Caenorhabditis elegans: one gene and its partners. The protein of the gene in region 3 interacts with the protein of the main gene of each other region in a pairwise test. Each region holds a gene or a part of one and is shown on either strand. Other genes may lie near its edges.

Region 1 (3,758 bases), on a different chromosome or scaffold from region 3:
AACTTTCAATTTTCTGAAACTTACGGCATATTCATTTTTCGTCGCGTCGTACATAATAGATTGCGCTCCTCTGTTTTCATTGGCACCAATTCGTATTCCACGGAACTTGCAACCACCAATTAGTTCGGTGTAGAACTTACTGAAAATATTTCGGAATAATCTACGTAGAAAACACTTACACAACGTCGTTCTCTTCTAAGCATGGATTTCCCGCTGTTTCGTTGACTACAAAAACAGCACAGCAAAGTTCTTTTTCGGGAACCACATTCAATTGTTTTTCTTGAAATCCACGAATCACTGGTGTCATTTTAATTTGTTCATTTACACTATTCACAAGCATTGGCTCTTTCAAAACCTTTCCTGGACATTCGATCATCTGAAGTTTGGAGCATAATCCAAATCTTTCAACAAAATTTAGCTCTTCAGAAGAGAAATCCAATTCTTTCAGCATTTTTAGGGTATTTTCTTTGTAGTCGTGAGGTTTTCGTGTAGCTCGCTTTAGAAACTTGTCTTGCATCACCAGATCAATTCGATTCTTGTATCTTTGTGGCTTCTCATGAACTTCAAGATGTTCCATTGGTACAGCGTATTCTTTTGCTCCACTTTTAACTTTGACTAGTGGTAGGTGGGGAAACTCAATGAACTTTTTGTTTTCCTCATAGATTTTGAACAATGTAGTATCGTACTTTTTTGCATTTCTTCCTCTGTCCGATTTACCAGTGACTTTATAAACAAGAGAGTTTTCCTCGCACAAATCTAGAAATGTCAGATGTCGTTCTGTCAATCTCGACCTGAAAATCAATTTGTATATTAATTGTTTGAATAATTTAAACTAACATTTCGTTATCCCAAACTTCTGCGCATTTCAGCTTCAAATTTTCCAATAATTGTCGAATTCTTGGCCGCGCGGCTTGTCTGATTGTCATTTTTCCCGCCATCAGTTTTGTTTTAAGATCTTTTCGTACATCATCGTTACACGACTGGGGGTCGACAATTAGGAGAAGATAATCCAGAAGAGACATTTTCGGTGCATTGTAGAATAGTTTATCGACAACTTCAACAAAAATCACATGATTTTTTATCGCAGTTTCTCAAACTTACTTGCAAAATTGAGCACAGGTTCACCATCGAACAATTCTTTGATTCCAATGTAAATTCCAAACCATGCTTCGATTCTTGGTGCTACTTCTAATGATTGTTCGAATCTGTTTGGATCGTGAAACGATTCAGGAACTCGCAGAATTGAATTATTATCGTACACAAAATTTTTCGCGAATTGTCTTAAAATATATAAATGAGTTGAGGTGATTATTATTATTATTATTGCAACTCACACTTTAATCTCCTCGTTCACAAAAGGCGCGTAGCGAACTTTCTGGGTCATAACATTCTGAAAGCTAATTTTGTTTGTTATAATGCGTGTTTTTCATAAACCTTCAGGAATTTGTAACTCCGATTCGCTTCTTCGTCTTTTTCCGGATTTTCTCGACTAAAGTTCAGGTGAAATTTTTTACGATAGGTAAGTATCATTGTGTATAAGATTTTTTTCTCCAAATCCTTTTCATCTTTTTTCTCCGAATCCTTTTTTACTACTTTCTCCGAAACCAGCATTTTTGATGTGACAGTGTTCAGTCGACAAACACTATAAACAGTGTCCTTTTCATCAAAAACATAGTCTTCGAGAATAAAATCTGTCTGCTTCTTCTCATGCCGAAGATGTTGCCAGAAGAGTTTTGCACGATCGGGACTGAAAAATAAAATTAGTTTTGACTAATTTACAAGCACTTACATTGGAATTTCTGTCTTTTTTGGGAAAGGTTTTCCTGGTTTTCTATTCAATACTTCCTTTGTCATTTTCACTTCATACTCGTAGTATTCCCGATCGTAAATTTTGCTGGAGAACTTGAACCAATTTACCAAAAGAAGTACTTTCTTCTCATAGAATTTGCCGTCGCATTTACCAGTGGGCCTCGCAAGCCATTTCATCTCCTATAATATTAATATCAAACTTATATATCTTATAGCTGCTAATAATTGATCATACCGGATCGAGAGAATGACGATAAAATCCTTTTTCCAATTCGGGAAAATTCGAGGACATGTTTCATCACTTTGTGGCTGTTGATTATCTAGAAATTACCAATAAACAACGTTTATGATTAAAAAAGAAGTATATTTGATAATTGAAGATAGAAAAAGTTAAGTTTTAATCTCTAATTAAGTTGAACAGTGTTACAAGGCATTTTTAAGCGAGAAAAAATGTTTTTTGAAAATATTTTTAGCATGAGGAATGTCGTCATTTGCGCTGTTTCCTCCGCAATACTTCGTCCCCGTGTTTGCAGAACCACTCTTTCCAATTTATTTATTTTTTATTTCCCTTCAAGAAATTTTTTATGGCGTTTCCTTTTGATATTTTACATTTGGAAATTATCCGTTCAACTTTGGAAAGTGAAAAAGATCGATGTGAAGCAAAGGAAAAGTTTGGAACAGTGAGTTTTTCTTGATTTCTGAGTTTCAATTTATTTTATTGGAAATCACTTTTCAGATTATCGATAACTTGAATGGTCCAGCTGATATTGAAAAGTACGAAAGCTTAGTTCAAAAAGCTTTTCTTCACGTAAGTTAAATGTTAGAATACGTCTTCCAATGTGTGTTCTTCAGGCAAATGCAGAGACTAAACTTGAGTCGATCGGATTCAGAGTTGGAAGGCAGCTCGTGGAAAAAGTATCAAAAGAGTCTCCGAAATTGGTCACTGAGTTAGAAGTAAGAATTTTGTGACAAGTTTTATCCGGTTGTAATTTAAAAAAATCAGATTGTAAAGTTCATTTGCAAGGATTTCTGGTCATCAGTGTTTGGCAAGCAAGTCGATAATCTCCGCACAAATCATCAGGTATATTATTTTTCAAACGATTTTATTTCCAAAACTTATATCTTTCAGGGTGTCTATGTTGTTCAAGATGGAAGATTTACAACGCTGCGAAGTTTTCCCGAAGGTGATCAATACGTGAAAGAAAGTGGATATTTCCTTGCTTTTCCATGTGGTTTACTTCGCGGAGCCCTTGCTGGTCTTAATATTAGAGTGAGTTCTTTCTTTTTTTGCGTAATCTACGTTTGTTCGTTTCAGGCAATTGTAACTCCAACAATCGAAAGTGTACCTTCTGTGAAGTTTCATATTCAAGTTCAACCAAAATAGTATTTTTCACATGTCAATTAATTTATGGATTTTTGTATATAGTTTATTTAATTTTTGAGAATAAATAAAGAACACCGGTAACCTTGATGACATCGAAGTAATAGAAATAGAAGAAAACATTATAATTGAAAAAGTTCATATATTCCCACCGAAGACTATATTTTGGTTACAGGAAACCAAAAACCTAGTTTTGCATTTTTGGAAATTTGGTGGAGCAAGTTCGGCTCCAATAAAGGCTGCAGCCGGTCCCATTCCAATGCTAAATACAAAAGTGAATAAAAAGAATAATTTTATAACGAAAACAAGTAGTTACACAGTCGCGATTCTTTGCGTCAAAAACACAAGCGGGCGTGCTCCTTCAAAGGTTACTGTAAGTTAAAACTCGTGGAATTTTCATCGACTTTTCATAGTTCTTCTCACGATTTGTTATTATCAAAATATAAAAACTGTCACCTCAAATTTGACTGCAGCAACGCGCGCGAAATTTTCGCTCTCGATTCCGCATGCCGTAAAAACAGTTGGGACCACGGTCTCGCGGGTGATGACAGAAGCGGGAGAAGAGAAA
Region 2 (3,200 bases), on a different chromosome or scaffold from region 3:
AGATTTGTTCCCGCTCTGGCGGCGTAAACCGTTCCAGGCCGCGGATTTCTTGAATTACATGGTACGTCTTCTGCCAGCATCATTATAATATTACTTAAATTAAATTACATTTACTTTAGTTTTCCGATATATTCTAACCTGTCAGGAATACCTAATCGTTTGATTGAGTGATAAAGAGCCAAAACGTTGGAGACATGACGATAGTTGAACCAAAATTTCGATGTGCATACGAGAACGGCCCAGTTATTTGTGTGACCTGTAACCTTTTCACTCAAACCGGAACTTCTTTCGAACCGAAACCTGGGGTGTCGAATAATTCATCAATTTTCAGCTGTAGACCTGTGTTAAGAAGAGCTTCGGTTGCAATTATTGCACAGAAAATCAATAGTACATGACGCATACCCGAAAAATATCCTGAAACGCAAGGGGGGAAATTGTGCACTATTGTGTATTGCGGTGGAGCGCATGTTCTACGCGTACAGAATAGTAATGTGGAACATCTGAGAATGACAGGATTATAATGCGAAAAAATTGATGAACAGAAAACAAATAGTATGAACAAACAATACTTTATCAGTTGCCGGACAACCGGATAAAGAAAAACAACAAGTTGCTTATCGGTTGGACTTGGCGACACGCTCGAGCTCATCCTTCTTCTTGATAGCGTAGCTGTTGGAGGATCCCTTGGCGGCGTTGATGAGCTCATCAGCCAAGCATTCGGCGATGGTCTTAACGTTTCTGAAGGCAGCCTCACGAGCTCCAGTGCAGAGAAGCCAGATAGCCTAAAAAGAACTAAATGATTAAACGAATCACCAGGAAAATTAATATACCTGGTTGACTCTTCTGAGTGGGGCAACGTCAACAGCTTGTCTGCGGACAGTTCCGGCACGTCCAATACGGGTGGAGTCTTCACGTGGTCCCGAGTTGATAACGGCGTTGACCAAAACTTGGACTGGGTTCTGAATAGAAACGTGGTAAAATAAAATTTCTACATTTAATCAATGATATACCTCTCCGGTGAGCAAGTAGATGATCTCAAAGGCGTGCTTGACGATTCTGACGGTCATAAGCTTCTTTCCGTTGTTGCGTCCGTGCATCATCAAGGAGTTGGCGAGACGTTCGACGATTGGGCAAGCGGCCTTGCGGAAACGGCGGACTTGGAAGCGTCCAGCCGAATGTGGAAGGTACTTGGCGGACTTCTCCTTAACTGGAATGTAGTCGACAAGGGAGATGTCGGATACATTCACGCTCTGGAGCGACCATTTTCCGAAGAGAGCAACCTGTAAAAATTAATTTAATTTTTTGTTTTACTCTTTTTGGAAATATTTTTATCAATATTTTTTAAATGCAATTTTTAACCAAATACGAAATACAAACCTCTGGAGCTTCGGTAGCCGGAGCGGCGTCGGCGACGACGTTTTCAGATCCCCAGTTATCGGCCATCCTGCAAAATAACAACTTCAGTATAGTTTAAAAAATGATTTAAAAAAATAACAAGAAATATATAAATATTGAGTAACGTTACTATAACCAACAAGAAAATCAAGAAATATTAAAATTTTAATAACGATGATGGAAAATCGTCCTAAATTATTTTCCAAGTTTTGGACACGTTCTCGTTATGAATATGACAAAAAATCAATGATAACAAATCAAATTTAATTTTTTGTTCGCGTAAATATACAAATTTTAGGCCAAATTCGTAAAAAAAACGCAAAAAAATTGATTTTACAAAAAGAAAGTGGGAATTGGGCCTCAATTCTGAGAGTGCTGGTAACTTTCGCGGCGAGATATCTCGTCTTGTAAATTCGGTGTGCCTTTAACCCCGTTTGTCTGCGTCTCTCGTTTCCAACGTTGTCGCGGGAAGTTCCAATTCAATCGCCGTTTCAAAACGAGTTTTATTCGAGCAATTTTAGCATAAAATTGGAAAATTAAAGTTTAACAGTCGATAAATGAATCCCAAACATTTTCACGATATATTTTTTCAGGATTTTGCATTTTACAGGAAGAAAAAGCGGAAACCAAAAACAATTGTTGTAAACCAATAAATTGTGATCTGAACGAAATAATGTTTTTATGCCAAATTTAGCTGAATTCAAAATGCAAATCAAATTTTAAAATAATTCTACATCCGAAAGGTTTTAGACAATGCATTTGAGACCGAAAGATGTCTACCAAGTAATGTGTCTGCTGAAAGTTCGAGATATTGCACGGACTTTGGAAAATGGAAACCAAAAAAGTAAACAGTATTCTAAGATAGTACTTAATCTGAATTGGAAATAATATCTAATTGATATACGTATCTTCTTCAAGCGCAAACCTCTGATTTTATTATAAAATTTTCTTGATAACTTTAAATAGTCTTTTATAAAGTTACGAGTTTTCTTCTATCCACAAATCAATAAATCACAATATTTTGTCGTTTTCCTCTCACTTCACCGACATGATTCGTGTGGCTTTTCTAATTTCTTTTCTTCGTTTTCATCCATTTGCCACGTCAGTTGTCGTGCGTGTGCTCGTCACACTTGTGCTCTGAAGAGAGCATCACAATTTATCCCATGCCCGTGACACTCTAAAATACACAGAGAGTCGGTCCAAAAATGTTTAGTTTTCGATTTCCAATTATTACTTTCTGGCTCATCTTCTTCTTCGTTTTCTTTTTCTGTCCACGAAGAATCTGAACTTTTATGTTTCTCGTAGAACTTACTTTTTGGAAATTTTTGAATCTCAACTATATAGTACTTGATTGATATACTTGTATTGGTAATTGTAATCATAAACATATTGAAGTTAATAATAAATTGCCTGCAATGTACCTACACGTGTGCCTATGTACCACAGTTCATCTGAACCTCAGTATTCACATTTTTTTTGTATTTATTACTTCATGAAACTTTTAAAAGGTTTTTGAAAAGACAAAATAAAAATAGCTAAAAATCGAATTTCATGCCAAAACACGGAATGTAACCGGTGGGCAGGCAGGCAGGCAGATACGAAGGCGTGGCGTGCCTGCATACAATTTTTGTAAAATTTGGAACCTTTCAAAACTACAAACTCCATAGGATAACTATATAAACCTCATCCCATTTCGTGGTACTGTAATTTGAAGATTTCCCAACCCTTTCTTGATGCATGATTTAAAAAAAATATATTTTTACCAAAAGATTGACACATTTGAAAACTCCAAGTAAATTTAAGAC
Region 3 (3,758 bases):
AGAAACTGAAATAGGAGACCATCTAAGCTATCGCCAGAAGCTTTCCAGTAGAATTCGTACATCTGAAATAATGCAAAATTAAAATTTTATTTTAATCAGTTTCTTGTAGAAATTGTGGGTTTTGTTCGAAAATGAAGTCAAGAAGGCAAAAATTGAGCTTTTTTCTGGGAGCAGCTTCAAAACTAGAGAATACACGAACAAAAGCTAAAATTTCTACAAGATATCGATTTAAATTGCAATTTCATATGTTCATAAGCATATTTCAAGTGAAGTAAGAAAAATTAGACAAAACAGAGGAAAGTGGAAAAATTCTTAAAAGGCGCAAGAGGCGATCTAATTCAATTTCAAATTACCTCATCAACCTTGGCCAAATCCGTCATATAGCCGAACATTGATACGAGGCATGCTTCGAAGGCTTCTTCCATTGTGGATCCCCAAGAGTGAAGTTGAATATCTGCCGGATGATCGAGATATTCGAATCGCCGACGTTCGATCTCAGAACGATCTTCGATCATTGATGTGCTCGGCATTATTTCACTGAAAATAAATTAAACTGAACTTAACCAAATAAATTTGAGGAAAAATTGATTAAAATATCAGAACGGTTGAAACCAAAAAATAATCGATTTTGATTAACTTAAAAAAAACAATTTTATGTATTTATGATGCGGTTTTTGTGAAAATTGATATCTACGAGCCACGAAAAGGAATGAGAATCGAAGTATTTGTTCCTTTAATCTAGCGGTAGGTGTGTGGGAAGTGGCAAATTAAATGCGAACTCGAGAGGTGAAGGAGGAGGTTGAGGATTGATGAGAAATGGAATCTATTTACAAGAGAAGAACTACAAGAGGGAAAGAGGCTTGGCCGGCAAGACTAATACTATATCGCCTTGAATATTAGTCTATTCTAAGCGTTCTACATGAATAATCTGCACTCTATTTCTCTTGTGGTTCCGCCTCGTCTTCACTGAAATCGGGGAAAATTTCGATGGACGTGTCGGCTTGTTTCGATAGGCAACGAATTGTGAGAAGAACAAAACGTTTGAGTCCTTTGTTGTAGAAAATGAAGGCAAGTGCCCAAATGCAACCGTCTTCGGTAAACGGATCGTCTTCGAATTGGGACTTGAAGCTGAAAAATATGGAAATTATATAAAATATCCTCTCAAATCAAACGGAATACCTGTATATTTGACAGTCACCGGGCACAATTGCCTCATCAATAATTCCCCATAGCTCTTCTCTTCTCACGTGATAGTCTCTGACAATTGTCTCAAGCTTCATATCAACGAGACGGCTCAGGTCCTGAAAAATCATGCGCGTTAATGTTATTTAGCTGTAAGAAGCTACTAACCGAATAATTGACGAGAGCAAACGCTTCACTGTTGGCATTACTGAAATCGTGATCCGGAAACGAACAGTTCAGAACTTGAGTCAGATCATACAATTTCTTTCGCGAAATTGAGTCTTTTATCAGGTAGTCATTCACGTCGAAATCGTTGTCTGATCCTCCTGAGCACGAGCGTTCCGATAAATGGCGAAGCCGATGATTGTGACCAACACTGGGCGATGCACTCATCACCATTTCCTCGTAAGATCCTAGAGGCTGGCGTTCACCCCATATCACAGATTTATCGTTCGATTTCCATTGTTTCTTTTCGCTAGTAACCATTTTCGACGAATACGTTTCTAATCTGAAATTGAACGATTTGTTTTATTCTTAATATTGAGATAAATGACTCACTTGAAATCAATAACACAATCGATTGCTCCCGTAACGAGTGTCTGCGAAAAAACATCCATTTCGGAGCTTTCCAGAAACTTCATGGCTTCTAAAGCTTTTCAATAAATTTCGAGAACATTTGGAGAATTCAAGTGCGGAAAAATCCTACGTAATGAAGATTGCAATATTTAAAATCGCGCATTTTGAAAACAATAATTTAATTTTTAAATTTTACACTAAAATAACAATTTTAATTACTTTTTCAGAACGATTTATCGTGAAGAAAGGAAAAACTGCTGTAAAAAAATCCCATTGATTTAGCAAACTGTCGGCAACTTCTGTGTAATGTGTGCAATATTGTTGTTGGTGTTTGCGTACTTGTCTACCGTATACCTTGGGGGTAAAATGAAATTTGTTAAATTTCGCTTCGAAAGTCGTTTTGCAATTAAAAACTATAGTCAAAACTAGATTTTCAAATAATTGATGTCACAGGGGTCTAGAGAACGAAATAACACGACCATTTATGACAGAATCAGGAATATTTAGATTAAAAAATTAACAAGTTTCAAATCAAATTTTCAAAAGGCAATGAGATTCACAAGTTTTATATTCAATACAAGAATTTAGTGGAATTAATTAGTCCATTTTGGTTCATAAGGTGTTACTGAAATTGATGATATTTGCTATAACTTAATGGGAAACATGAGAAAAAACCTGTTTGAAAATTAGTTTTGCACCCTCTATTAGTTTTGCATCAAATTAGGTGTCCGAAAATTAGTTTTGCACGTCTTACTAATAGAGGATATACGGTATACGGAAAACAATTTAAAAAAATATTTTTATTTGAACGACCACGTACATCTTGATAAGGACTGGTATATGAGCAAGTAGTTTTAGTCATAGTGTTCAGTCTTCAACTTTTCAACAAATGGTCTGCCAAGAAGGATGGGAAGATGATGCCAATTCAACAATTCCGATGCTGTGAACGAAGATATGAGTATGCAAGGAACCTCCGAGTGGACCTCGGACGATGGAGCCGATTTACCTACAGTCGTGTGTGAATTGGAAACCAGTTCACTTCAACCAAACGGAATATTAAAGTGAGTGCGGGTCAGAGGTGTAAATCTGATGTTTTAAAATGTTATAAAACATAAAGTTTACAGCTTTTTGAGTATTGAGAGTATGAACCTTTTTTTTCAGATACTCATACTGGCATATGTCACAAAAACCCCCCGGACAAACTACTCAAGACGAAACGTTCAAAGGATAAATAGAGGAGACAGAGGAAAAAGAAGACAACTCCAAAGTGGGAGCTATTTTGTAAGTTTGTTGTTAAACTCATAAGCTTGTAGATGGCTTGCCTCAATACATTTACAAATAATGTCATATTGGTGTTTATTTCAGGAAGTACAACTGAATCGATTGGAAATTAACGTCAGGATGTGGATTGGAACAAGTAGCTGGAAGTGACTGGAAACCCTACTGTGTCGACGGCGGAGGAGACATGGTGCATGGATGGACAACTGAAACAATTTGACAGCCAGGCTACGTGAAGCTCAATGCTCCGCTCTGATCGACAGTATCTGCCTCCTACCTGCGTTGTTTAAGTAAAGCTGCAGAGATTGAATTAAAGTAATCCATCTGAAAAGAGCATCTCTATTTCTCAATCATTTCGTGTTTTTGAATTTGAAACTGTGCTGTTAGATTTTGAGAGCTTGAAATGGACGTAGTATTGTTTCATGTAGAGAGAAAAGAATTTCGAAAATTGATACAGTGAGCGACGTTCAAAATCGTGGGACACATTTTTTTTCAGCAAAAGCTGGTTCCAAAAAATGTGCAAACTCACTTTTTTTTAAATTTAAAATAGTTTATTCGAAGAAAAAAATTAAATTAAAATTGGCAATCAACAAGGGGCTTTTTTGAGAATCATATTCAAATTCAGGAAGAAAATGTTACAAATATAGAAATTTAATTTTTCGAATTACGCTTTCTTTTTGATGATCTCTTAAGTTTGCATGCTTTGGCGCATGGCATTACAT

The links.
Region 1: the proteins of mafr-1 (region 3) and rde-1 interact in a two-hybrid assay, tested with the Caenorhabditis elegans proteins (one large-scale study listed by BioGRID).
Region 2: the proteins of mafr-1 (region 3) and rps-5 interact in a two-hybrid assay, tested with the Caenorhabditis elegans proteins (one large-scale study listed by BioGRID).

Annotation. Positions count from the first base shown.
Region 1 is NC_003283.11:9,989,514-9,993,271, forward strand, and holds the start of rde-1 (Piwi domain-containing protein), read right to left. Parts: upstream 2,130-3,758; 5' UTR 2,102-2,129; coding exon 2,045-2,101; intron 1,990-2,044; coding exon 1,790-1,989; intron 1,748-1,789; coding exon 1,435-1,747; intron 1,391-1,434; coding exon 1,335-1,390; intron 1,281-1,334; coding exon 1,102-1,280; intron 1,055-1,101; coding exon 838-1,054; intron 792-837; coding exon 180-791; intron 140-179; coding exon 25-139; intron 1-24. Other genes in the region: trpp-6 (Trafficking protein particle complex subunit 6B), read left to right, coding at 2,394-2,489, 2,546-2,617, 2,662-2,763, 2,813-2,890, 2,939-3,079, 3,125-3,193.
Region 2 is NC_003282.8:11,109,602-11,112,801, forward strand, and holds rps-5 (Small ribosomal subunit protein uS7), read right to left. Parts: upstream 1,445-3,200; 5' UTR 1,444-1,444; coding exon 1,378-1,443; intron 1,281-1,377; coding exon 1,011-1,280; intron 960-1,010; coding exon 831-959; intron 783-830; coding exon 615-782; 3' UTR 501-614; downstream 1-500. Other genes in the region: pigk-1 (Putative GPI-anchor transamidase), read right to left, coding at 1-93, 139-256, 301-400. UniProt on the Caenorhabditis elegans protein: Component of the small ribosomal subunit. The ribosome is a large ribonucleoprotein complex responsible for the synthesis of proteins in the cell. Part of the small subunit (SSU) processome, first precursor of the small eukaryotic ribosomal subunit.
Region 3 is NC_003279.8:10,621,243-10,625,000, reverse strand, and holds mafr-1 (Repressor of RNA polymerase III transcription MAF1), read right to left. Parts: upstream 1,829-3,758; 5' UTR 1,824-1,828; coding exon 1,741-1,823; intron 1,691-1,740; coding exon 1,351-1,690; intron 1,302-1,350; coding exon 1,180-1,301; intron 1,129-1,179; coding exon 936-1,128; 3' UTR 640-935; downstream 1-639. Other genes in the region: arch-1 (Protein archease-like), read right to left, coding at 1-62, 354-530; Laminin subunit alpha lam-3, read right to left, coding at 3,688-3,758.